Linked DNA regions of Kluyveromyces lactis. The protein of the gene in region 1 interacts with the protein of each later gene in a pairwise test. Links are inferred from orthologs where the notes say so. Each region holds a gene or a part of one and is shown in the gene's direction. Other genes may lie near its edges. The genes, in order: RVS161, KLLA0_D12584g, LAS17, RUD3, AIM3 and RVS167.

Region 1 (2,994 bases):
CAAAGCTCGGAGAAACACAACCATCAACACCAAGAAACCGCTGGTCACCCTACCGCGGCATACAATTCCCAAGACCCTAACGTGTACCATGACGATTTGGAACTTCAAAAGGTCCAGACCGGTGGTGAAAATCACGAGTTCATTTTCATTGGACGTCAAAAGTTCTTAAAGGATGAATTGTACGGTGCTTTCGGTGGTACTTTGAACCCGGGTCTTGCTCCTCCAGCAACCCACAAGTTTGCTAATCCTGCACCATTGGGTTTATCCGCTTTCGCATTGACTACTTTTGTGTTATCTATGTACAATGCCCGGGCCATGGGTGTCACAGTTCCAAACGTGGTTGTGTCATTGGCCGTTTTCTACGGTGGGTTTGTCCAAATGGTAGCCGGTGTCTGGGAAATCGCTTTGGAAAACACATTTGGTGGTACTGCTTTGACTTCGTACGGTGGTTTCTGGATGTCCTTTGCTGCAATTCATATTCCTTGGTTTGGAATCGGAGCCGCCTATGAGGAGGCTCCGGACCAATTGGCAAACGCCATCGGATTCTACTTGTTAGGCTGGACCATCTTCACAGTGGGACTTACCGTATGCACAATGAAATCTACTCTGGCCTTCTTCAGTCTCTTCTTCCTATTGTCCATTACTTTCTTGTTGTTGACCATTGGTGAATTCACCGGAAGAACTGGTGTCACACGTGCTGCAGGTGTGCTTGGTGTTATCGTTGCCTTTATGGCTTGGTACAATGCATTTGCAGGTGTGGCTACGCGCGAAAACTCGTACATTACTGTCAGACCTTTGCCATTGCCAAAGGCCAAGTTTTTCTAAGGAGGAATATCAAGACTTTTTTGTTATGCGATTATTTCCACACGTTTATTCACTACGGTAAAAGGGATGTGACAAGGGTTTCTTCTTTCTCCCTCAATAACAATACAATTTACTATTAATGATGGTAATAATAATAATATTCAACAATAAATTTCTGACACGTATGATTCCAGTGTTTATGATTTTTTTTTTCTTCCTTTCTTTCTTTCTTTATTTCTCTACATTCACCTTGTTAGAAATTCTCCCTTGTCCGTGCCCTCCCAAACTGGCTCCAGCTTTTATATTCCTTATTTAATTATAATATTATGATGATTTTGATGATTATATAAATACACCATTGTTTTTTCCTATTTTATTCTGGTTTTACACGCCCCTTCTGATATTTTGGGGAAAAGCCGCTGAAGTTCTCTGCATTACCTTAATTTTTTTCTCGGCATTGATATTCTGTATCGTTATTTACGATGTGTCCCCTTTTCCTTGGGTCTTTTTTCTCTGAAACACTAAAAAGCCACTAATCACACAATCTTGAAACAGATAATATATATTACATACAAATATAACATATATATATCGGTGCATCATCGATAGGAGAACTTATATCATTTAGCGTTATCGCAGAAACTAGTTGAATAAGTTCAATAAAGGTTCCCACCAAGTGAACTAAAAAAAAAAAAGTTTGTGTTTAATGTCCTGGGAAGGGTTTAAAAAAGCTATCAACCGTGCTGGTAACAGCGTGCTCATCAAAAATGTTGACAAGACTCATGATAAAGATTATGGAATGGAAGAGCGTAGGTACAGGGTCCTTGAGAAAGCAGGTAAGGAATTACAGAAGGAGGCAAAGGGATATCTTGATTCTCTAAGAGCAGTTACCGCGTCTCAGGTCACTATTGCAGAAGTTATCTCGGATTTGTACGATGATTCCAAGGCAACCAGCGCGTCAGCACACAATATAGGGAACTACTATCTACAATGTGTTAGAGATTTTGATACGGAAACGGTGAAACAGTTGGATGGGCCCTTTAGAGAAACTGTGCTTGAACCAATCACGAAATTCGCCACTTATTTCGATGAAATTGAAACAGCTATCAAGAAAAGAGAACATAAAAAACAGGATTACGATGCAGCAAAGGCTAAGGTGCGTAGACTTATCGATAAGCCGGCTAAAGACGCTACCAAGTTACCTCGTGCCGAAAAAGAGTTGGCCTTCGCTAAGGATATTTACGATAATTTGAATGACCAATTGAAATTAGAACTTCCACAACTAGTCTCCCTCAGAGTGCCCTATTACGATCCAAGTTTCGAAGCATTAGTGAAGATTCAGTTGAGATTCTGTACTGAGGGGTACACTAGACTAGCGCAAATTCAACAGTATTTGGACCAGCAGTCACGTGATGATTACGCAAACGGTCTTCTCGATCAAAGAATCGACGATTTATTGCAACAAATGTCAAATCTAAACATTTGCGCTCTAGGTTTCAACAAATAATAAGCAGCAACAACACAGTATATATGTATATGTATGTCTTCATCTCACATTCACGTTTTAATCCTACTGCTGGCTGAGTCGTCTGCCCTCTCGCACTATCCCTTGTGTTCTCCCGGGTAACTTCATATTCAACATGAATTTTTCGAAGTTTTCGGAACAAAAACCAGATATTTCAAAATTCAAGAAATATCAAACGCTACTAAATGATCTTTGACCTGACTATCATCGAAAGAGAAAGTTCGAACGAAAATAGTTACAGCTCTATTAAACTGTAGAATAGCAAGGGAGGTTGGGTTTGTCTGAAGAGGCATACAAAACTTTGATATATTGACCCCCTACCTAATTGATCCTTCGATAATATTGAAGAAGGAAAAAGAAAGAAACAAACTACCTTATCGCTCCTTCTCCGAAATATTTTTTCTCGTGAAGATCATCGACATTTGGGACTAAGTCGATTGGAACAAGGCCTATGGTTCTCTTATCCCTTTAGGTCTGCGCTTTTTTTCACCATATCATTTCTGTCTCTCTATTTCTCTGCTGCTCTTCGTTTCAATATTTTTGTCTTAGCACATTTCCATTGGTTTCCTCGTTTCTTTAAGTTACAGACATGTTCATTAAAGTCCGGTTTCCACCGTTTTTGTCTCAATGTGTATTATCCTACCCCCAAGTTTTCATTGTGATTC
Region 2 (4,235 bases), on another chromosome or scaffold:
CTGATGGACAATCGTGGGAATGGGTCATGTGGTGGTGTGCCATTTTTGCTGCTGTTTGTACCGTGTTTCTATTCTTCTTCATGGAAGAGACTAATTACGATCGTAAACTAAAGATCGATTCCAGAACTGGCCAACCGATCACAATGGACCGCCACGATGGCACTGTCGTTTCAAATGTATTTTCAGCTACAGCCAACATCGACACTTTGTTGAATAAAGAAAATAATCATATCAACGTGGATGAAACCAGCTCAGATAGCGTCGGTGGTGTCACTGGTGATGTACCCGACGTTTTGCACTCAGTGTTAAGTGCTGAAAACTCAAATATCATGAACCAATTGAGCCGAGTTGAAGTTGTGGACGGAGCGACCGTGCAACAGAGAAAATCGACTAAAACGTTCTGGAGTAAACTCTCCATGACAAGTGGTGCAAAGGAAAAATTCCTACTACATCATTACTTCATGGCACCATTTTATTTATTCGGTTTACCTGGTATCTTATGGGCAGGTTTCTTCTACGGTCAATCCCTAATTTGGTTCAATGTTTTAAACGCAACTGAGGTCCTTATCTTAGCTGCTCCTCCATACAACTTTTCCAGTACGGCTTGTGGTCTTGCTTACTTCTCTCCATTGATCTTCTCTTTCATTGTCTTTTTCCTAGTCGGTACTTTCTCCGATTGGTTGAAGGTCCGTATTGCCAGATATCGTGGTGGTCTCAGTTTGCCAGAAGACAGATTGTACACCGTTATAATCTACTGTTTCATTGGTGTCGCTGCGTGTATTCTATGGGGCGTCGGTGCTTACTATGAAATCCACTGGTTTGGTTTGGTGTTTGGTCTTGGAATGTTAGGTGGTTGTTCAATGTTTGGTATCACCATTTCCACGACATATGCTATTGACTGTTACAAGGAATTGGATACTGAAGCGATGGTCGTGGTTATCATCATCAGAAATGTCATGTCCTTTGCTGTTTCCTTTGGTATCACCAAATGGATTGAAAACCTTGGTTTGAAAAACGCATTTATCAGTGCCGCTTTCATTCTCTTAGCATGTAACTTGACATTTGTTGGAATGGTAATTTGGGGTCCGGGCCTCAGAAACAGAACTAAACATTACTACTGGTCTTTAGTTAAGAAGTATAGAGACTTGGGTATGCACTAATATATCACTAATCTTGGTCTTTTCTTTAAGCACTATTTAACCCTCTAAATATTTAGACATATATCCACCAATGCTATATTTTGTTTCTCTGAGTATACTAACGCCAACACGTTGTATATTAGGTGAATCATCCATTCCTATTATAAGCAATACGGCTTCGCTTTAACTGACACTCGAACATTCCAGTCGCGCGTCTGTTTATAAAATTACCCGGCCAGCCGTTTCAGGCTATTCTCTCGAACAAGATTGAAATATTGACCATTGTATAATTGTTTAAAGCCCATCAACCCTATGTTACCTTGAAGGAAAGTAGCACGAAACCTCTTGAAACACTATAAGCGGGCTGAATACTGTTCAGATATGACAGATCAGGTAGAAACTAAAGATGATGTTAAATCTACGGCATCAAATGATGCGGAATTGCCATTAGATGAGTCCGAGAATGTTGAGCCATCAGGGGACAAAATAGAAATAGAAACAGAACAGCCGGATGTAGCAGACGCACCTGCTAATGACGGTGCTCCCAGTGCTAATGAAATAAAGGAGACTGATGTCAGTTTTGCTGCTACGGAAAAGAAGAATAATGAAGATTCTCCTCCTATCACTGGTGCTATTGAGGTGAAGGAAGAAGTTGCAGATGAACCAGTGGATAGTTCAACGGTAGAAAGTGAAGCACCAGATACAGTGGAGGTTGTTAATAATGAAACCGAACCAATTGATACTGATAAGGATAGTTTATCTAATGAGAGTGTGATAAAATCCAAGCAAGAGATTTTAGAACAGAAGATTGAGTCATTCAATAACGAAACTAAGCCACCACATTTACCTCCAAGGGACCACATTGCGGGAGAGAAACCACCACTTCCTTCAAGATCTCATGTGGCAACGTCTTTATCTGGACCTGTACATTTCGTACCTCCACCATTGTCCGAGGAAATGAAGTCTCCCAAGTTTCGTGCTCATTTTAATCAGCATAAACGTTCCGACAGCAGTGATTTCGATTTGATATTGAACAGATTCATTCAAAACGAAACCGAATTGGAACTAAGAGATGACAAAGAGCGTGAGCATGCAAAAGAAGGTACCAAGACACTAAGAGAAGAATATGATAGCTTACTAGATCATGCGGACAAAGAATTGGTACAATACGATTGGCCATTCTGGAGTAAGCTGGTTCATAATTTTAGCGATATAGTCAAGGATGACTCAAAGAAATTAGAAACTGAAGTAGGGAAAGGTATCCCAACTCAAGTCCGTGGTATTATATGGCAGCTACTAACCAGTTCAAATTACAAGGAGATGGAGGAGTTATACTGTTCCTTACTTCTATTGGAGTCACCGCATGAAAAGGCAATCAAAAGAGATTTATCTAGAACGAAGTTCATCCCAGAAGGTAAGACAGATTCTTTATTCAGCGTGCTCAAGGCTTACTCTCTTTATGACCCACCAGTTGGTTACACACAGGGCATGGGTTTTATTGCTACTACTTTAATATTGAACTGTGAAGAAGAATGGCAAGCGTTTTCTCTATTAACGAAACTCATGAAAGTATACGGATTAAGGGATTTATTCTTGCCGGGAATGCCTGGCCTGATGTTGAAATTGTACCAATTTGATACACTTTTGGAGGAAAATGATCCTCAATTGTATAACCATTTGATCAGGCAGGGAATAAGATCTACAATGTTTGCAACTCAATGGTTCCTGACGATGTTCGCATACAAATTTCCCCTTGAATTCGTTCTCAGAATCATGGATATTGTCATACTTGAAGGTATCGAATCGATGCTAAAATTCAGTTTAACGTTGATGTTAAAGAACAGTCGTAATTTGATCATTCTCAGTTTCGATTCTCTCTTAGACTTCTTGAAGGAGGACCTTTTCCAACACTATGCTTCTAAGGAGAACCCAGAAGAGTACGATATTGATAGATTCATCTCTGATTCGTTGGAAATCAAATTAACTCCATTGCAATTGGAGCGTTACGTGAAAGAGTACGATGAGATTCACAAGTTGGAAACGGAAAAGGAACAACAATATGAGGAACAAAGAATTAAAAACAGACAGCTTCAAAAAGAGTTGAAGAAATTAGAAAATGACTATTCGCTATTAAACAGAGAGCATATCACTATTGCCAATGAACTAATTGAAAACAGACTTCGGATGGAAACTCTTCAGGACGAAAATAAGGATTTATTACTAGAGATAGAAGATTTGAAGAAACAACTGGAACGTGAACTTTATAAACAAACGTTACCTAATCCAGATGCTGAAATTCCCACAGATTTGAAAGCAGATTTGAATAGAACAATGGAAAGAAATCTGGAAGTTATGGACGAAAATCAAGAGCTCAGAACACGCCTTGACGAATTAGAAAAAGAGAACTATGAATTACGCACAGGTAAGACTTGGACCAAAGATGCCACCAATCCAAAGGGAAATCGTCTCGGGAATTGGGCTTTCAAATCACCATGGAAGAAATGAGAAAAATTGCAACAGGGACCTCATTCACAATATCCATCCAGCCGTACATATATACATACCCTTCATACATACATGATACCGCCAACCATTACGCAGAGGTGTATTCTAATCATAAATTTCCTTATGCTTTACCATTCTCGCTGTATACGGTTTTGATCTTTCCAAAGCTTATTCAAAATTTTAGAAAATAACGACTTGATACATGCACTAAGGTGAAGAGAAGGAGCTTGAACCTAGTATGAAGCTAGTTGGTCTAAGAGTCTCTGTACGTTCACCAATAAGCACGGAGATCGTTCATCTGGAATGAAGTTTTTTCCAAGTTCCCAAAGAGGGTTTTCCACTCTTAGCCACCTCCTCAGAGAATGGAGATTAGTTGAAAGCAGACAGATCCCAACTCCAAAGACGTATCAAGTCGGCGACAGCAAGCCATTATATATCCCAAAGGAGAAGAAGGAATTCCCTGATTATCCATACGGAGAATCTCCAATTTACAAACAGAGTAACAAAGGTTTATACGGTGCGTCTTTCATCCAATTCGGTAATAACATCGCTGAATCGAAGACAAAAACCAGGAGATCATGGAGTCCAAAC
Region 3 (4,096 bases), on another chromosome or scaffold:
CCTAACGATTCTTGAGTGCCTGCAGAGGCTTGGCCCCAATACACAGCGACGTTATCTTTAGCGTTTATGTCAAATGCCGAGGTGAGCAAAAGTTGAACCAAAGACAACAGAAGTAAACGAGGGTGAAACATTGTAGATTCTGTTAATACTTTTAAAGGAATGAATGGAGGGTGTTCTCTAATTTCAATACTAGTATCCTGCGAATGTCAGAATATGTAATCCTTTAATAAAGAGTGACAGATTAAAATTTAAAGGCTTGTATAGAGAGATAGCACACGCACACAGGTAAGTACTGTTATGGTAGTATTAGTAATTTTTGATATCTTGTATTTCTGGTGACCAGTTTAACACAATGATTGATAGTTGCATTACTGGTACCTCATCCTGCCATTGTTGTGCCCTTTATATACCAGAAATCACAAAATATGACATCGAGCTGGACCCCAGCACTTGTTTCAAACATTCCAAAGCATGTAAACAAACACACCACAGAAAGCATTCTCAAACACTTGCTCCTGCTCACTGTTTATGTTTACTCTGTTTCGTTTCGTTTTGTTTCGCAACATCCAAAAGCTGTTCCTGTAATATGCTAAAACATAATTTCGTGTCAAAAAAGTGCCTAGGAAAAAGAATTCTTTTTGGAAGAGTTTTACGCTGGACTAAAGAGAAGAAAGCATTTACGTTTAACGTAACTGTAAACAAGACACAAAATGTAAACCCAATCACGCCGCCTGTTGTAAACTATTTCACATCATAAGCACGCAATCCAAACACCGTCCACCTGCAAAAAAAAACCATCTTTCGATGTTTCTCCCTCTGATCTCTTCGAGCATGTAGCTGTTGTTTACCTTTTGAATACCGCATGCTGGTTGCCAAAAAAACCCAGCATAAAGCGATCAACACGTACAAAGTGATTCTGACTTTTGTCAGATGCTGCAGTGCCAGACGGTTCCTGGGTCAGGACAGAAATTCTTCTGCCATTGTGCCGCTGTAACCACGTCCACATGCGTCGGCCAGATGTATCAGTAAACAGAACTCTTAATTTTTCTCCGTATTATGTTCGAATGCGTGTTCGTACTGAAATGCTTCTTGTCTTTCCTGTACCTTGCAGTGACCTAAATGGGCACACTGTATTCCCATTTACAAATGGTCTGTTAGTACTTTTGAATTCAATATGGCAACTTGAACAAACCCCATTGTGTAAAGGTCCTTTTTTTTTTATCTCTCTCGCAGTTCTGTTGGTCCCTTCTTCTTTCACTGAATCACTCTGTGAATTATAGGGGAATAATGCCGTATTAAGAATCGCTTCAACTTTCAATATTGAAAAATTGAAAAGTTGCGAAATGTTAAACAGACCGAAAACTTAAGAACCGTAAATTATAGTCAGCCAAACCCCCCCACTCCCTAAAGTGCATCGCGCGTTTGTGTTATTTTCATTAGAACCCATCGGTAGCTGCCTCCGTCAAGAATTGATTTCAAGTTGAACGAGTTTACACTTCTTTTGAGAAATTAATAATCATAAAGCAGTTGTTTCCGAGTATACTATGGGAGGCTTGAATTCTGCTGAGAAAGAAAAGGTTAAACATGCTTTGCCCAAGGCTTCTAACAAGATTATAGATGTTACTATCGCTAGGTTATACATTGCATACCCTAATCCAGAGAAATGGGTTTATACTGGCTTATCTGGTGCCATTGCATTGGTGGACGATATCGTTGGTAATACTTTCTTTTTGAAGTTGATCGACGTGCATGGGCATCGAGGTGTTCTCTGGGATCAAGAATTGTACGTGAACTTTCAATATAACCAGGATCGTACTTTCTTTCATACCTTTGAATTAGAACAATGTAACGCCGGGTTGTTATTCACCGATATTGGCGATGCTTCACATTTTTTGAAACGAGTACAGAAACGGGAGAAATACGCGTCCAAGAAGACCTTGGCCAACAAGAATGCAATTGCATTAGAGGACCAAATTAAGAAAGAGGAAGAGAGTAAAGTGATCCATGGTCCAAGAGGCGAATCCTTGATCAGTGACCAAAGGGTCAGATATAGATATGAACCGGAAAAGCACGAGCACCGCCAGGAACACCATTACGAGCAGCCCAGCCAGAATTATGCTTCAACTGAAAACTCAGCTTCAGATGCAAGTGCCGCTCCTCCTTCTTTTGCCTCGAAACCACCGCCACCGCCTGTCGAGAAACAACCTCCTCCTCCTGTGAGCATCCCATCTTATAAGTACGACTCTATTCCATCATTCCCAAGCTCTCCTGCACCTCCATCGGTTTCCTCTACTCATTCTCCTACCCCGGATTCATCCTATGCATCAACACCAGCACCAAGTAATCCTCCTCCACCAATAAACCACCCGGTACATGCAGTTCCTCCTCCTTTACCAGCAGAACAATATCGTCCACTGGCTCAGTCACCTCATCCGCAATTCCAGCAGCAGCATAATTCTCCTTCACCTGCAGCACCTCCTTCGATTCCGCCTATGCAGCAAAGCGTTGCAATCCCTCCTCCACCTTCCCATCCAGCTCAACAACAAAACGTCACTAATAACAACACTCCTCAGTTTGGACAATATTCTGTTGCTGGTCTGCAACCACCTCCGAGACCAACTTCAACGAGACCTGGTATTGCTCCTCCAGTTTCGAGGCGTGGTCCGGTACCACCTCCCCCTCCAAGACGCTCAGCTGCTCCGCCGTCCATTCCTTCAAGAGGTCCTCTACCTAATGCTCCAACTGGCGGTCAGCATAGTCGTACTGGAAGAGGGCCTCCACCACCACCACCACCTAGACGTGGTGGCCAGGCTCCTTCTCCACCTGCAAGCAGAGGTACAACTCATAACTCAGCCATCGGCCCTCCCCAGCCCCAGCTTCCACCACAAATGCAATCTCCTCCTCTTCAACAGCATAATACCTACAATGCAGCGCCTCCTGTTCAGCAATATCAACCACCACAGCAAACCGCATACATTCCGCCTCCCCCTGTCTTACCACCCCACTCAGGTGTAAGCACTCAGTATCACCCATCGACCGAGCCTATGTTAGCCCAACCCCAGCATCATATAGCGGTACCTAATGGCACTGCACCTCCCCCAGCACCTCCTGCCCCTCCGGCACCTTTTGCTCCACAGATAACGAACTCAGCGCCCGCACCACCACCACCTCCTCCTCCTCCTCCAGCCCCTGCATTTAATCAACCTGAAGCAGGATCTGGTTTTGTTGAAAATACTGGTGATGCTGGAAGGGATGCCTTATTAGCATCGATTCGTGGAGCTGGTCTGAATTCCCTCCGTAAGGTGGATAAATCTCAACTTGAAAAGCCAAGTCCTTTGTTACAAGAAGTTCGTAGTGATGCGCCGGTATCTCAACCCACAGGCGGGTCAACTGGCGGACCTGTTGGTGCTCCTGCGTCCTTGGCTGATGCCCTAGCTGCGGCTTTAAACCAAAGAAAGAATAAAGTTGCTCGTGACGATGATATAGACAACGGTGATGATTGGTGAAAGTAATTCACCCTACTTGAACTGCATCTGACTAGACTGTGGAATTATGATTTGGTATTTGTATGTACGGTGTACCTATATATTACTTTCAGATGCCTTTAAAACAGAAGACAGATAAAACTAAACTAATTATTCAAAGAACTCCACTTATTTGACCATACCTGTATCCATTTCAACTTGGACTCATCTGAACCGTTTAGCTGTGTAATAATTTTTATAACTTTCTTAACATCATTATTGATAGCAAGTACTGATGTTTCCACTTCTGGATCTACTTCATATTCAGCGTTCACTAAGGTGGATGAAATTAAAGTATCAGAGTTAGAAACTATTGAATTGTGGAGTTGATTTAGCTCAGATAGATATGCTGCTGTAGTTACAGTATCCTTTTTTATGGTTATCGATTTGGATAATGAACTCAACAAGAGCTTAAGGAGACGAGATTTTTGCGATAGTGATTTGACAAATTCAATCATGGATTCTGAAGCTTCCTCTTCCTCTTCTTCATCTAAATCCGTACCTTCCTCATCACTGAACTTGTCATTCATTCCGAATGGGTCTGAATTTATTACTGGATCCTCCAACCACTC
Region 4 (3,540 bases), on another chromosome or scaffold:
GCCACTAAATGAGCGGCTGTCGTCTTGCCAATACCTGGTGGACCTGATAACATCACTGCTCTCATACTAGGCTTTTTCCCAGAACTCCAGCTCTCTAACCAAGTTTTCAATTTTTGGATGGCTCCTTTATTACCACAAAGTTGTCTTAAATCAGTAGGCGCATATTTCGTGGTCCATAACTTACTGTCTTCAGTAACAGTACTTTTACTTGAAAGATTGACATCTTTTCCCACCGATAGTTTATCCTTCTTTTCACGTTCCTCTTGTTCCTTCGCCATTTGTTCAGCTTCTTTCATCGCTTGTTCTTGTTGTTCTTGTAACTTCCTTCTAGCTTTGTCTGCTTGTTGGTTATCACCACCACCTGCAGGCATACCTGCAATTAGTCTCTTGAACCCTTCTTCATCAATGGCCTTTATACCCAACTTCTTGATGTTCTCGAGCTTTTTAGGTCCTGCTTCTTCCCCTAACACAACAACGGATGTGTTCTTGGAAATAGATTTGGTGACACGAGCACCATATCTCTTTGCTAGATTTTCTGAGGTAGATCTGTCAAGATTAGGCAAAGTACCTGTGAATACAATGGTTAGCCCGAGCAAACAGTTTGCTTGACCCTCTGGGATCTCCAATTCACTGGATGCACCAGAACCATCACCTCCTGCACCTTTCCATGAAAACTGCGTGGCTTCTTTCGTCGTAACATTATCAAGATCAACAGAAGGTATAGAGTCTAAAAGCTCTTTTACAGTTTGCGGAGAATCGCTTTTTTTAACCCTACTAACGTCTGGTTTAGTCAATCCGTTCGATGAAGGTTCACTTATCCTTGGTTTCTTTGCAGGTGACTGCTCTTTCTCATCGGCTGCGGTAGTATTGCTCCGGCTTCTTCTCGGTTGTGACGCCAGCAATTCTAGTTCGTCGTCATCCAAATCCAAGTCAATCGTTTCAGCAGCCTGGCTCTTGACCTTCTTGGGCTTCTTGGGTGAAGCATGATTTGTTCCGTGCCCTGCCCTCTTATTTTTTGCAGCTCTCAATTTATCCGTTATGTCTCCCATCTCGGACACCACTTCAATTGTACTATTACACTAGAATCAGATAACACTGAAAACCCTCTAACACATCTATATCCGACACTCACGCTTTGTCAGTTTCTGTTTTATCAGCGATGTTCTCGTTATTACTGGTATTTTTCCTGGTTTTCTATGATTTTAACATTTAAATTGTTGGTTTAAAGATTGAAGAAAAACGAACGATGTTGACGTATATAGACTATCGAAAGAAATGAATTGGCTTTCTACAACTTGTTCATCTGCACAACGTATAAATCTAGAGTACCGAAGTGACCTTGGCATATAACCCATAGATCAAGGATAGTTGTTCCTGTCAAAATTAGGGGCTCCCAAACAGCAATTGGCATCTGACCGCATTAAGAAAAAAAATGGCCAAGAACAAGAAGAAGGGCAACAACAGTAACAATAAATCAAAGTCTGCTGGTTCAGCAAAAGATGTCAAGGCTACAGAGCCAGTCCAAGAAGTGGTTCCTGAAAATGATGGCGCTAAAGCTGTCGCGGTACCGGATGATTCTCTAGAAAACTCTGATGGTGCTGACCAGTCAACTGTGGAAGCGGTTGTTACTGTGAAAACAGATGACAAGCCATCGAAACCTGAACCAGAGGAACAGCAATCACACGAAGCCACAACAAACTCTAATGCAGAGGCAGAACCGCACAGTGATTCTGAGGAGAACGATCTACAGCGTGTTAAAGAGGAAAGAGATCAGTACGAATTGAAGTATAACACTCTTTTGAGTAAAATCTCATCTATGAAGACCGTGTTCAGTCAAATGAAGCAAGCTCAACAGGAACTGGAAAACACTCGTGAGCAGTTGAATGAGTATGAGAATCAGAATATAAATTTAAAACAGAAGCTAAAATCTGCTGATTCAGAAATCCAAGAGGACAAGCAAACCATTTCTATTTTGAATGATGAAATCGTCAATCTCAATAAAGAATGTGAAAATTTGAGTAATGAATGTTCAGAATTCAAGTCCAAAATCAAAGAATTGGAATCTAAGTTGAACGAGGCATCTAACGAGGAGTCTAACATTACTTCTTGTCTTAAATCTGAAGTCAAAAGCTTAAAATCTCAGATCGATAATTTAGAAATTATCATCAACAATGAGGCACAAGATAAAAGAGATTTAGAAGAGCAGATAGCTGACTACAAACAGCAATTAGAACAAAGTGATGAAACTAAGAAACAGCTTGATAATATAATGTCAAATTTAGAAAAGCAAATAAATGATAACAACACTACTATTGAGACTCTAACCAAACAACGGACAACAGAAGTCAACCAATTCACCGAGGAAATAGCACAATTAACGAAAAATAATGAAGAAAAAGCTACCGAAATCAATAGTTTGAGGGCAAAAGTAGCGTCCATGAGTGAAGATGTAGCATTAAAGGAGAAATTTGAACGAGAGGTGAAAGAAAGAGTTCTACAGATAGGAAAACTACGCCACGAGGCTATCATATTAAATGAACATCTAACAAAAGCATTAGCGATGCTAAAGCAAAACAATGATTCTGAAAGTGTCGACAAAGAGTTGATATCTAACCTTTTCATCTCATTTGTTACTATCCCAAGAGGTGATCCAAAGAAATTTGAAGTCTTGGAATTAATTTCAAGTTTCCTTAACTGGGACACCGATAAAAAGACTCAAGCTGGTCTCATTCAGAATATGAGCAATACAAACTCCGAATCGCGAACCCAGAATTTCGTTTCTCTCTGGACTGAATTCCTAGAAAAGGAAAGCGAGAAGTGATTGCGCTTTGGCTGTCATCCTGCAGAAACTTTCTAAAAGTGATTTGTACTATAAACGTTCTAACACATAAATATATAGACTAAGTTAGTTCAATTATTCACTAATCCAGTCAAATATCATAAGCCGTCTGGAACAAACTTAAAGAAAAGCGCGACTTGCACTGAATATTTTTTTTTACTTAACCGATCAACGGTAATAAAATTGCATCTTGATGATAATTTCTATGAAAATTCAAGTAACCCAAAAGACACCGGCACCTATGAACAAATACAAAGAAACGTTACATTTAATAGACCTTCTATAATCTTGATCGTTTGGTTCAATCTTCAAGACAAGCATCCAAATCATTAGCGAATACAAAGATGTTAAGATGTGTTATCCCAAGCGTTCGCGCTACTGCAACGACCAGAACCTTTGTTAGATTTGCCAGTTCTCAAGGCTACATTGATGGGATCGCTGCATTAAAACAAGACTTGAAGAAGGCAATGCTTGCAAAAGACAACCTAAGAAAGACAACCATTAGAGGTGTACTATCTACAATTAAGAACAAGGAAATTGACAGTAAGGATAAGGATCTAGATGAATTTGTATTGTATGATGTGTACGCCAAGTTAATCTCGCAAAGGAAGGACTCCATCGCTGAATTTGTTAAAAATAAGAGAGAAGATTTGGTAGAGAAAGAAGCCAATGAGATAAAGATCCTCGAGAATTATCAGACT
Region 5 (4,300 bases), on another chromosome or scaffold:
GAACAAGAAACCGATGACCTGAATGACGAAGATGATTTTGAGACTGTTAAGGATATCGTTTATGTATTACCTGATTCCATCGGCGAAGTTGTTATTGATGAGCAGTCCCTAAAGATTTTGAACGATACCACTCTCACATATAGTACCGAATTAATCGGTTCCACTTTCAAGATTACTGGAGGAAGTATGACCAGTAGTTGTGGATGCGGTAGCAGTTTCGGTTTAGACCAGGAAACATGATGTTCTTGCTTTTTTCAACATCCTATTTATTATAATGCAGTGCATGACCCCACTCCCCCCATATTGATGGGCTAATGACTTATATTCAAATGACATTTTACATATATGGTAATGTGTATAGTTAAACTATGAGGTTCTTACATCCTAACAAATATTCTAATAGAACACCATTGGCATTTGATGAGTCTGGTTGCTCGATATATGTCGATCGCAGTGTCACTCTCTGCTGGACAATATGTACTGTTTTTATTGGGAACTCTTTCGAGATCCCTAACCTATCGCTTAATAATTTAGGTAAAAGATGCAAACCAGCGGGGAAATCGCTGACGTTCACTTGGATTTGAAATTGATTCAATAACTTGGTGTCCCTAGTCATATAATCGATTTTCACAACGTCCATATTGGATGTAATTTCTGTTAAAAACTGGTATACAGTCTCATTGTCAAGCTGTAAGGGCACCAGGTACACCTGGTGTTTGCTTAATGTCTTTGTAATCCGATTATCCTGTTGACTATTAGTACAACATACTGTATCACTCAAAAATACACGTAATTCGTCCTCAGAATTATCTATAAGCCAAATTCCTTCTTCACCATCTATATCAGCCACATCAACATTGCAGAACTCACGCAGATCTTCAATGAGCACATCGATCCGAATATCATCTGGTGAATGATAAAAATACCATCGCTCCAAGCCATTCATCTTTCGAGAAAGGAAATTATATCAATGACCAGCAATATTACAAGAGATTGACCTCTGCTTAGATACACGCTTCTCGGTCCTGGGAAACGACAACTTACCCCTGCATTCTTTTCATCTTAGGGTAGTAGTAACCTTTAAACCTTCATGTAGATCGGCTCTATGCCTTTAACAGCTTAAATAGTGAAAATCAAAGGTTTTGAGAAAAAGATTCAAACTGAACAGAATTTGACTCCTAAACCGAAAGGGAAATAAAGGAGAAGCAAGAGTTTGGACCGGTATAAATCAGTAGTTCGTTAGTTATACATTGTATAGCGCGATTGCAGAACATCATTATAATACGGAACACTCTTTCGTCAGCGGTGGCAGTTTTCTCAAGTCTTTGAAGCGCCTTATTCATGAGTAATTTTTGGGATAATAACAAGGGCAGTATTATGTCTGGTCTGGCAAGCGCCGGAAAATATGGTTATCAGGGCACGAAATATGTAGCAAAGGCAGGGTATAAGGCCAGTAAGACGCATTATAACAATTCCCAAGGCAAGAAGAATGTTGAGGAGAGTTCCGATGAAGGCTATATGAGCGAATCGGCTTCAGATTTGTCTCATTTACAAGATCCTAAGATGTTTCCACCGCCTCCTTTAAAACCGGGACAGAAACAGATATCCAGTGATGGGACTGTCATTGATGCTGGTAACGCTCCTCTGGTGCATACTGCTGCTGTGCCGATGGCCAATGCTGCTTCACACCCAGGGTTGCCTCCAAGAACACCGACAGCGAACAGTATTCCTATGCTTACTCAGCAACAAACGTATCCTCCGCAGAATATGTATCAACAACAACCGCCACCACAACCGCCAATGCAACAGCAAGTACCACCACAAGTACAGCAAATCCCACAGCCAGGGCAGCAGTTATCGCAGCAGCCAATGCAGCAGCTTCATCCTGAACCAATTCCTCCAAGAAATTATCAGACTGCCGTAGAAACGCCCCCACAATATACCCCTATTCCATCGCTTAATGCACAACACGTACAAGAACAACTACAACAGCAGTTACAGCAACAGTTCCAACCATCAATGGGTACCCCTGATCAAGGCCAGGCATTAGTCCAAGGCTCTCCCTTGGCGTCGCAACAGCAGGTTCAGCCGCAGGTTCAGCCGCAGACCTCACAATATCAGTCTCAGCAGGTACCCTCGCCTCAGATTCAAAATCAAGGGCAACTAATGCAACAGCAACAAAACTACTTTCAACCTCAACTGCAGCAGACTCAGCCACAGCAGTATATCGATTCCTATGCTCAGTACCAGCAACAAGGGCAGCAGCAAGTTCAACCGCAGATACAGCAAATGCAACCTCAGGTTCAACAGCAACCCATCCAACAACCTCCGCAAGCACAACCGCAGTATCAACAGTCATATCCGCCACAGTACCAACAACAAACCCAATCTTTGCAGCCACAATATCAACAACCAGTTCAGGCTCCTATTGTACAGCCTCCCATTCCTCAACAGGATTATTATCAGCAACAGCAGCAAACTCCTTACCAACCTGCATCTCAACCTCAAATGTATCAACAACAGCCAGGGCAACAAAACCCCATTGTATCTCCAGCTCCTGCACTTGCGCAAAGACCAAGTCTCTCCAATATCCAAACATCTACTGGCCATGGTGCATCTCAAGAATCTACAGTTTCATCAACAGCTTCAATTACCGTTAAACCATACGTTTGGATGGATTCTGATGAACGGAAGGAGAAGAAGAAAATTGAGCTGCAACCTGTGAGTGCAATTGATATTCATCAAGTGACACCTCCTCTCCACAAGGATAGGTCATCTTCTTCAAGTTTGAAGAGTTCATCAAGGGACGCATCCGTATTGGAGAAGGGGAAATCACTTTCACCAGGTCCTGCACCTTTGCCTTCAAGGAATGTCAGACCACCTACATCTGTTGATCATACCAAACCAAACACTGTGACCCCAGCTGCAGCAACTGGAACATCAGCTGAAGTTGGTGATGACCAAGTTAGACCCAATGAAAGTATCACGGGAGTTTATCATGAATCTACTGTATCTTTCCCACCTCCGCCAAAGCCAACGCATAACGGATTGCCAATGTCACCACCTGTATCGCATGCTCGTCCTACAGTATCACATAAGCCACCAAATCCTCCACGTCCTCCTGTGTCTTCGAAACCGACATTACCTCCGATTCAAACTCACCAGCGCATTACCTCCACAGAACGTGCTCCCATAGGTAGACCCAAAGAGGAAGTACATCAAGCTGCGGTGTTAGGTGCTTATAACTATAATGTTGACGTTGGTTTCGCTCCTCCCCCCAAACCACCGAGATCAATGGTAACTTCGCCAGCTAACGATCCTCAAACTTCACTTTCGTCGCGCAGACCTTCCCAAGAGTATGGTGGAGTTGCTAAAGCTTCATCAAGAACGTTGCCGCCGCCGCCGGGACAACAAAATGGCTCGTTGCCCCAGCATACAGAGGAAGAACCAGCCTCCAATAGTTCAGAAAGTGCACCACCTGCCATGAGAATGTTACCCCTAGCAGATTTACCTCCTCCTCCACAGAGGACTGATTCTCATACCACCACATCCGAGCAACCGGCAGTTCCAAGTAGAACTTTTGATCCACCTCCAAGATATTCCACTAATGAAACTATTCCTCCAACTTATAATATTGATGAAGACATTCAAACGGCACATAAGAAACCGCCTCCAAAAGTGCCAAAAAAGAAGGTATCATTAAGGGCAGGAAATAAACCACCTGTCCCCAAGAAAAAGGCTAGTTTGTCCGGTACAGCCACTCATGAACATAACGAGTCAGCCCGCACATCGTTAACGCAAGAAACTAATAACAGTATTGATGATGACGATGATGACGATTCTGGAGAAGGTAATTCTTTCAGGAAGTATTTGAGGCATGTAGTTCCTGCAGAAAGGGATCATATTCATAAGTCCAAATAACTTTAAACACATTAGTGGCATTTACTCGCATCGCAAAAAAAAATAAAGAGTTTTATAAACAGTCATACACCGAGACAGCATACTTACCACTGAAGTCCCGTTAAGGGCTCAAAAACGCGGCTGCAAATTATATAATTATTTATAGATAGGGACTAAAGAACACGCATTATCATTATTCTTTTTAGTGTTTTACATTTCATCTTATTATCATTTAAGCTATTATTTCACAGGATGGCATTCAACATCCACTACTGTATACACATGTACGAATGATCATCGTTTTATATTAATGGATTTACACAGCATTTGTAAAGCTATTTGCAGTAAGAGCGTTGTAGCAGCAACTATTTACTTGAAACGTTGTGCTTGTGCGTAATTT
Region 6 (3,465 bases), about 770 kb from region 1:
TCAACAGAAATACAATTGCTGGGATGGATCCTAGGGCGAAGAGATATCGCCAGGCTGCAGTTGATTGAGGGTGGTCATTGTCAATCATGAAATATGCAATGACATACGCCGCAAATTGCCCGCCAGTGATACTTATAGAGTTTAACGTAAGCATGGTGCCTCTTATCTTTGCCGGTGAAATTTCCGTTAAATATATTGGAATGCATTGAGCTGCGATGCCAACGGCTATACCAACGACCAGCCTACCGGTGACTAACATCTCGAAAGTGTAAGAAACTGCCATTAGCATCGATGAGGCAGCAAAAATGATGCAACAAACCGTTAACGTGTGTTTCCTACCGCATCTGTCAGCCAAGGGGAATGCTATTATCGATCCTATGAATGAACCAGCACATGTTATAGAAGTGATTATTTCCTTTTGCCAAATTTCCAAACTATGAAAGTTTAAATCCTTTGGATTCATTGCTATTAAAACCCCAGAAATTACACCAGTATCGTAACCGAAAAGCATCCCACCAATTGTCGAACTAACAAACATAATACCCGTCCTCCATGTGAATGGGTATGGTCGTTGTTCAATATCATTTGCAGTGGTGGTGGTCATCTGAGAGAAAGTGGAGTACAAATCCGAATACACATCTTCGACACTGCTATCTCGCTGCGGTGAGGAAGATCGTACAATATCGTCCACCATAATACGGTACCAGGTTAAGAGAATATATGCTGGATTTTGCTGTCCAACGGATTGTAAGAACGCCGCTCTATGAACAGATCGGTGGGATATTACAGCAAGTGTTTAAAGTTTGTAAATCTTTGTTCGAGCCTTGGAGTCAGAAAATGGTTTAAATCCCATTCGGTAATTTAAAGTGTCATTTACTATATTAAGACATTAAAATGAAAAGAGGACAAACAACATCTCCAATGACAGTAACTTCTCGAAACTACTTGTAATATCCATAACGAAACAACCGTTATGTAAAAATATACCTAACTTATATCCTACCAAGAATCTTGCTGCACTTTATGTACCTTGCTCCACAACTATTCTCAACCGAAGGGTACATTGACTATTAGCCTAGAGTCAGCAGGCCTAAAAAAAAACAAGGTCAAGCTTGCAGCATATTTGAGTGATACGCACTCAAATTACAACCAATAGGAGAACCAATGGGCGTTAATAACAGTATAGACCATCCCCTTAACTTTTCACAAGCCTACTGCTCAAATGCATTGGGCCAATTTCCGATGAACTAAGCCAAGCCTTTTTCCTTTCTGTACGCTTTTGCCGATGCACAATACAATTTCAAAAAAATTCAAACTTTGGACAATTTCAATTTCATCACTTTGGAAGGGCATGTAAAAGGGGCAAACTTGAAAGGCAACTGAAGCGGTATATATATCTAATCAGCGTGTCAACGAGTTGTCTGTTAGAGCAAATCTGAACTTAAATTAATCTTTCGAAGGACAAACAAGCGTCTTTGTCGAGGGAAAGAAAGTTAATTTATTATAAGGGCAAAGAGAGAGAGCACTCAAATAAAAAACACGAAGAACGTGAATTTAAACAGATAAAAAGCGTTAAGTTTTGAAGTTTAGAGCGTATACAGCGAATAAGAAAGCAAATAACAATCAATATATTTTCCCCCTAGAGAGTCATGTCGTTCAAAGGTTTTACAAAAGCTGTCGCCAGAGCACCCCAGTCTTTTAGGCAAAAACTGAACATGGGTCAGCAGACTGTTGATCCTGTTTATGAGGATGCTGATCGTCGTTTCAAGGAATTGGAATCGGAAACGAAGAAGTTGAGCGATGAGTCAAAGAGATATTTCAATGCCGTGAACGGTATGCTAGAGCATCAAATTGGATTTTCTAAGGCAATGTCGGAAATTTTCAAGCCAATTAGTGGTAAGATGTCCGATCCCAATGCCGCTGTGCCAGAAGACAATCCAGAAGGTATTGAAGCGAGTGAGCAGTACAGTGCAATTGTTTCTGAGTTGCAAGCTACTTTAAAGCCTGATCTAACTCTGATTGACGAGAAAATTGTTAAACCAGCACAAGAGCTTTTGAACATTATTAATTACATTAGAAAGATGTCCACCAAGAGAAACCATAAAAAGCTAGATTTGGATAGGAGCTTGAACACGTACAACAAATATGAACAAAAACAGAATCCAACGCCAAAGGATGAGGAGAAAAAATATAAAGCCGAGGCTCAAGTCGCCGTAATGCAACAAGAATACGACTACTACAACGATATGTTGAAAACTGAATTACCTATACTTTTCCAATTGGAATCAGAGTTCGTGAAACCATTATTTGTTTCATTCTACTACATGCAATTGAATATCTTCTACACCTTATACAACAGGTTCCAAGACATGAAGATCCCATACTTTGACCTGGATACTGACATCTTGGAGGCATTCCAAGCTAAAAGAGGCAACATTGAAGAGCAAACAGATGCACTAACCATTACTCATTTCAAGCTGGGATACTCGAAGGCCAAACTAGATTTAACCAGAAGAAGATATGGTGCTACTGACGACTCAAGTCCTGGAAGTCCAATGAGCCCACCCGCATACGGCCAAACATACGGTCAGCCTGAACAGCCACAACAGATGGGCTATGACTCAAAACTACAACAGCCGCAACAGCAACAACAGTATCCAATCGGAGGTGTTGCAGGTGCCGCTGGTATCGCAGGATACAATTCGGTGCCCACCACTGCGACCCAGGCATCATACACTCCTCCCACTAGTGCAGGAGTGGAGACATGTACCGCTTTATACGATTACACGGCCCAAGCCGAAGGTGATTTGACGTTCCCTGCTGGTGCCATAATCCAAGTCGTGGATCGTTCCGATGCAGCAGGATGGTGGGTCGGTGTCTACAATGGCGTCCAAGGTGTATTCCCTGGGAACTACGTCGAACTATCGAAACAATAATGAAAACAAAAGAAAACTAATCTCTTGGTCACTTTCCATTCCCTTTCTGCTGTGTATAGACTGAACTTGAAAAAAATAATAAAGCAAAAGAAAAGCTCTCCTAGCCTGTAGTTACTATATACTCTAACCTTGTTTAATTCAAGAATGCCCCATAGCTTTTAAAGGATACAGAATGCACATCACTATCGACGGAATTGACGATATTTGGTCACCTGGCAATAGTCAGACATTGCTTCATGGAGACGAAAGGGGTTCGTCAGAACCCCTGTCTACATGCCCCTATATTTCTACACATCACCAGTAGCAGAGCCAGCCACTAAAATCACACTGGTTTCCAAGCACACAGCAGGTAAGATGGAAAAGAATTCCATGAGAAAGTACACTAAGCCTTACTGCAGGAACAGAAAGAGATACGTCTCTATATATACTTAAAACCAGCTATGTATTTCAATGCAACAATTAGCTCCCACCATCACAACTGCTCCCACTGCAGTGCACACAACCAGAGCCTGAAAGCCCCCTCCCTTCA

The links.
Region 2: the proteins of RVS161 (region 1) and KLLA0_D12584g interact in a two-hybrid assay, tested with the Saccharomyces cerevisiae proteins (4 studies listed by BioGRID). The link is inferred for Kluyveromyces lactis from reciprocal best matches to the Saccharomyces cerevisiae genes RVS161 and GYP5.
Region 3: the proteins of RVS161 (region 1) and LAS17 interact in a two-hybrid assay, tested with the Saccharomyces cerevisiae proteins (2 studies listed by BioGRID). The link is inferred for Kluyveromyces lactis from reciprocal best matches to the Saccharomyces cerevisiae genes RVS161 and LAS17.
Region 4: the proteins of RVS161 (region 1) and RUD3 interact in a two-hybrid assay, tested with the Saccharomyces cerevisiae proteins (2 studies listed by BioGRID). The link is inferred for Kluyveromyces lactis from reciprocal best matches to the Saccharomyces cerevisiae genes RVS161 and RUD3.
Region 5: the proteins of RVS161 (region 1) and AIM3 interact in a two-hybrid assay, tested with the Saccharomyces cerevisiae proteins (3 studies listed by BioGRID). The link is inferred for Kluyveromyces lactis from reciprocal best matches to the Saccharomyces cerevisiae genes RVS161 and AIM3.
Region 6: the proteins of RVS161 (region 1) and RVS167 interact in binary tests that used the Saccharomyces cerevisiae proteins (3 or more experiments, as listed by UniProt). The link is inferred for Kluyveromyces lactis from reciprocal best matches to the Saccharomyces cerevisiae genes RVS161 and RVS167.

The regions. Positions count from the first base shown.
Region 1 is NC_006041.1:1,052,920-1,055,913, forward strand, and holds RVS161 (amphiphysin-like protein RVS161), read left to right. Parts: upstream 1-1,510; coding exon 1,511-2,311; downstream 2,312-2,994. Other genes in the region: KLLA0_E11881g (acetate uptake transporter family protein), read left to right, coding at 1-825; KLLA0_E11925g (uncharacterized protein), read left to right, coding at 2,919-2,994. UniProt on the Saccharomyces cerevisiae protein: Component of a cytoskeletal structure that is required for the formation of endocytic vesicles at the plasma membrane level.
Region 2 is NC_006040.1:1,065,441-1,069,675, reverse strand, and holds KLLA0_D12584g (uncharacterized protein), read left to right. Parts: upstream 1-1,520; coding exon 1,521-3,644; downstream 3,645-4,235. Other genes in the region: KLLA0_D12606g (uncharacterized protein), read left to right, coding at 1-1,160; MRPL24 (mitochondrial 54S ribosomal protein bL28m), read left to right, coding at 3,948-4,235. UniProt on the Saccharomyces cerevisiae protein: GTPase-activating protein which accelerates the GTP hydrolysis rate of YPT1 and SEC4. Involved in ER to Golgi trafficking and polarized exocytosis.
Region 3 is NC_006039.1:433,176-437,271, forward strand, and holds LAS17 (actin-binding protein LAS17), read left to right. Parts: upstream 1-1,544; coding exon 1,545-3,506; downstream 3,507-4,096. Other genes in the region: CTS1 (chitinase), read right to left, coding at 1-131; KLLA0_C04752g (uncharacterized protein), read left to right, coding at 353-757; KLLA0_C04796g (uncharacterized protein), read right to left, coding at 3,632-4,096.
Region 4 is NC_006040.1:590,422-593,961, reverse strand, and holds RUD3 (Rud3p), read left to right. Parts: upstream 1-1,432; coding exon 1,433-2,821; downstream 2,822-3,540. Other genes in the region: RFC1 (replication factor C subunit 1), read right to left, coding at 1-1,049; AIM41 (Aim41p), read left to right, coding at 3,184-3,540. UniProt on the Saccharomyces cerevisiae protein: Involved in the structural organization of the cis-Golgi and in vesicle targeting/fusion stages of ER to Golgi transport.
Region 5 is NC_006038.1:826,488-830,787, reverse strand, and holds AIM3 (Aim3p), read left to right. Parts: upstream 1-1,341; coding exon 1,342-3,921; downstream 3,922-4,300. Other genes in the region: ISA2 (Isa2p), read left to right, coding at 1-240; KLLA0_B09482g (uncharacterized protein), read right to left, coding at 362-946.
Region 6 is NC_006041.1:279,894-283,358, forward strand, and holds RVS167 (amphiphysin), read left to right. Parts: upstream 1-1,649; coding exon 1,650-2,936; downstream 2,937-3,465. Other genes in the region: CIN10 (Cin10p), read right to left, coding at 1-694. UniProt on the Saccharomyces cerevisiae protein: Component of a cytoskeletal structure that is required for the formation of endocytic vesicles at the plasma membrane level.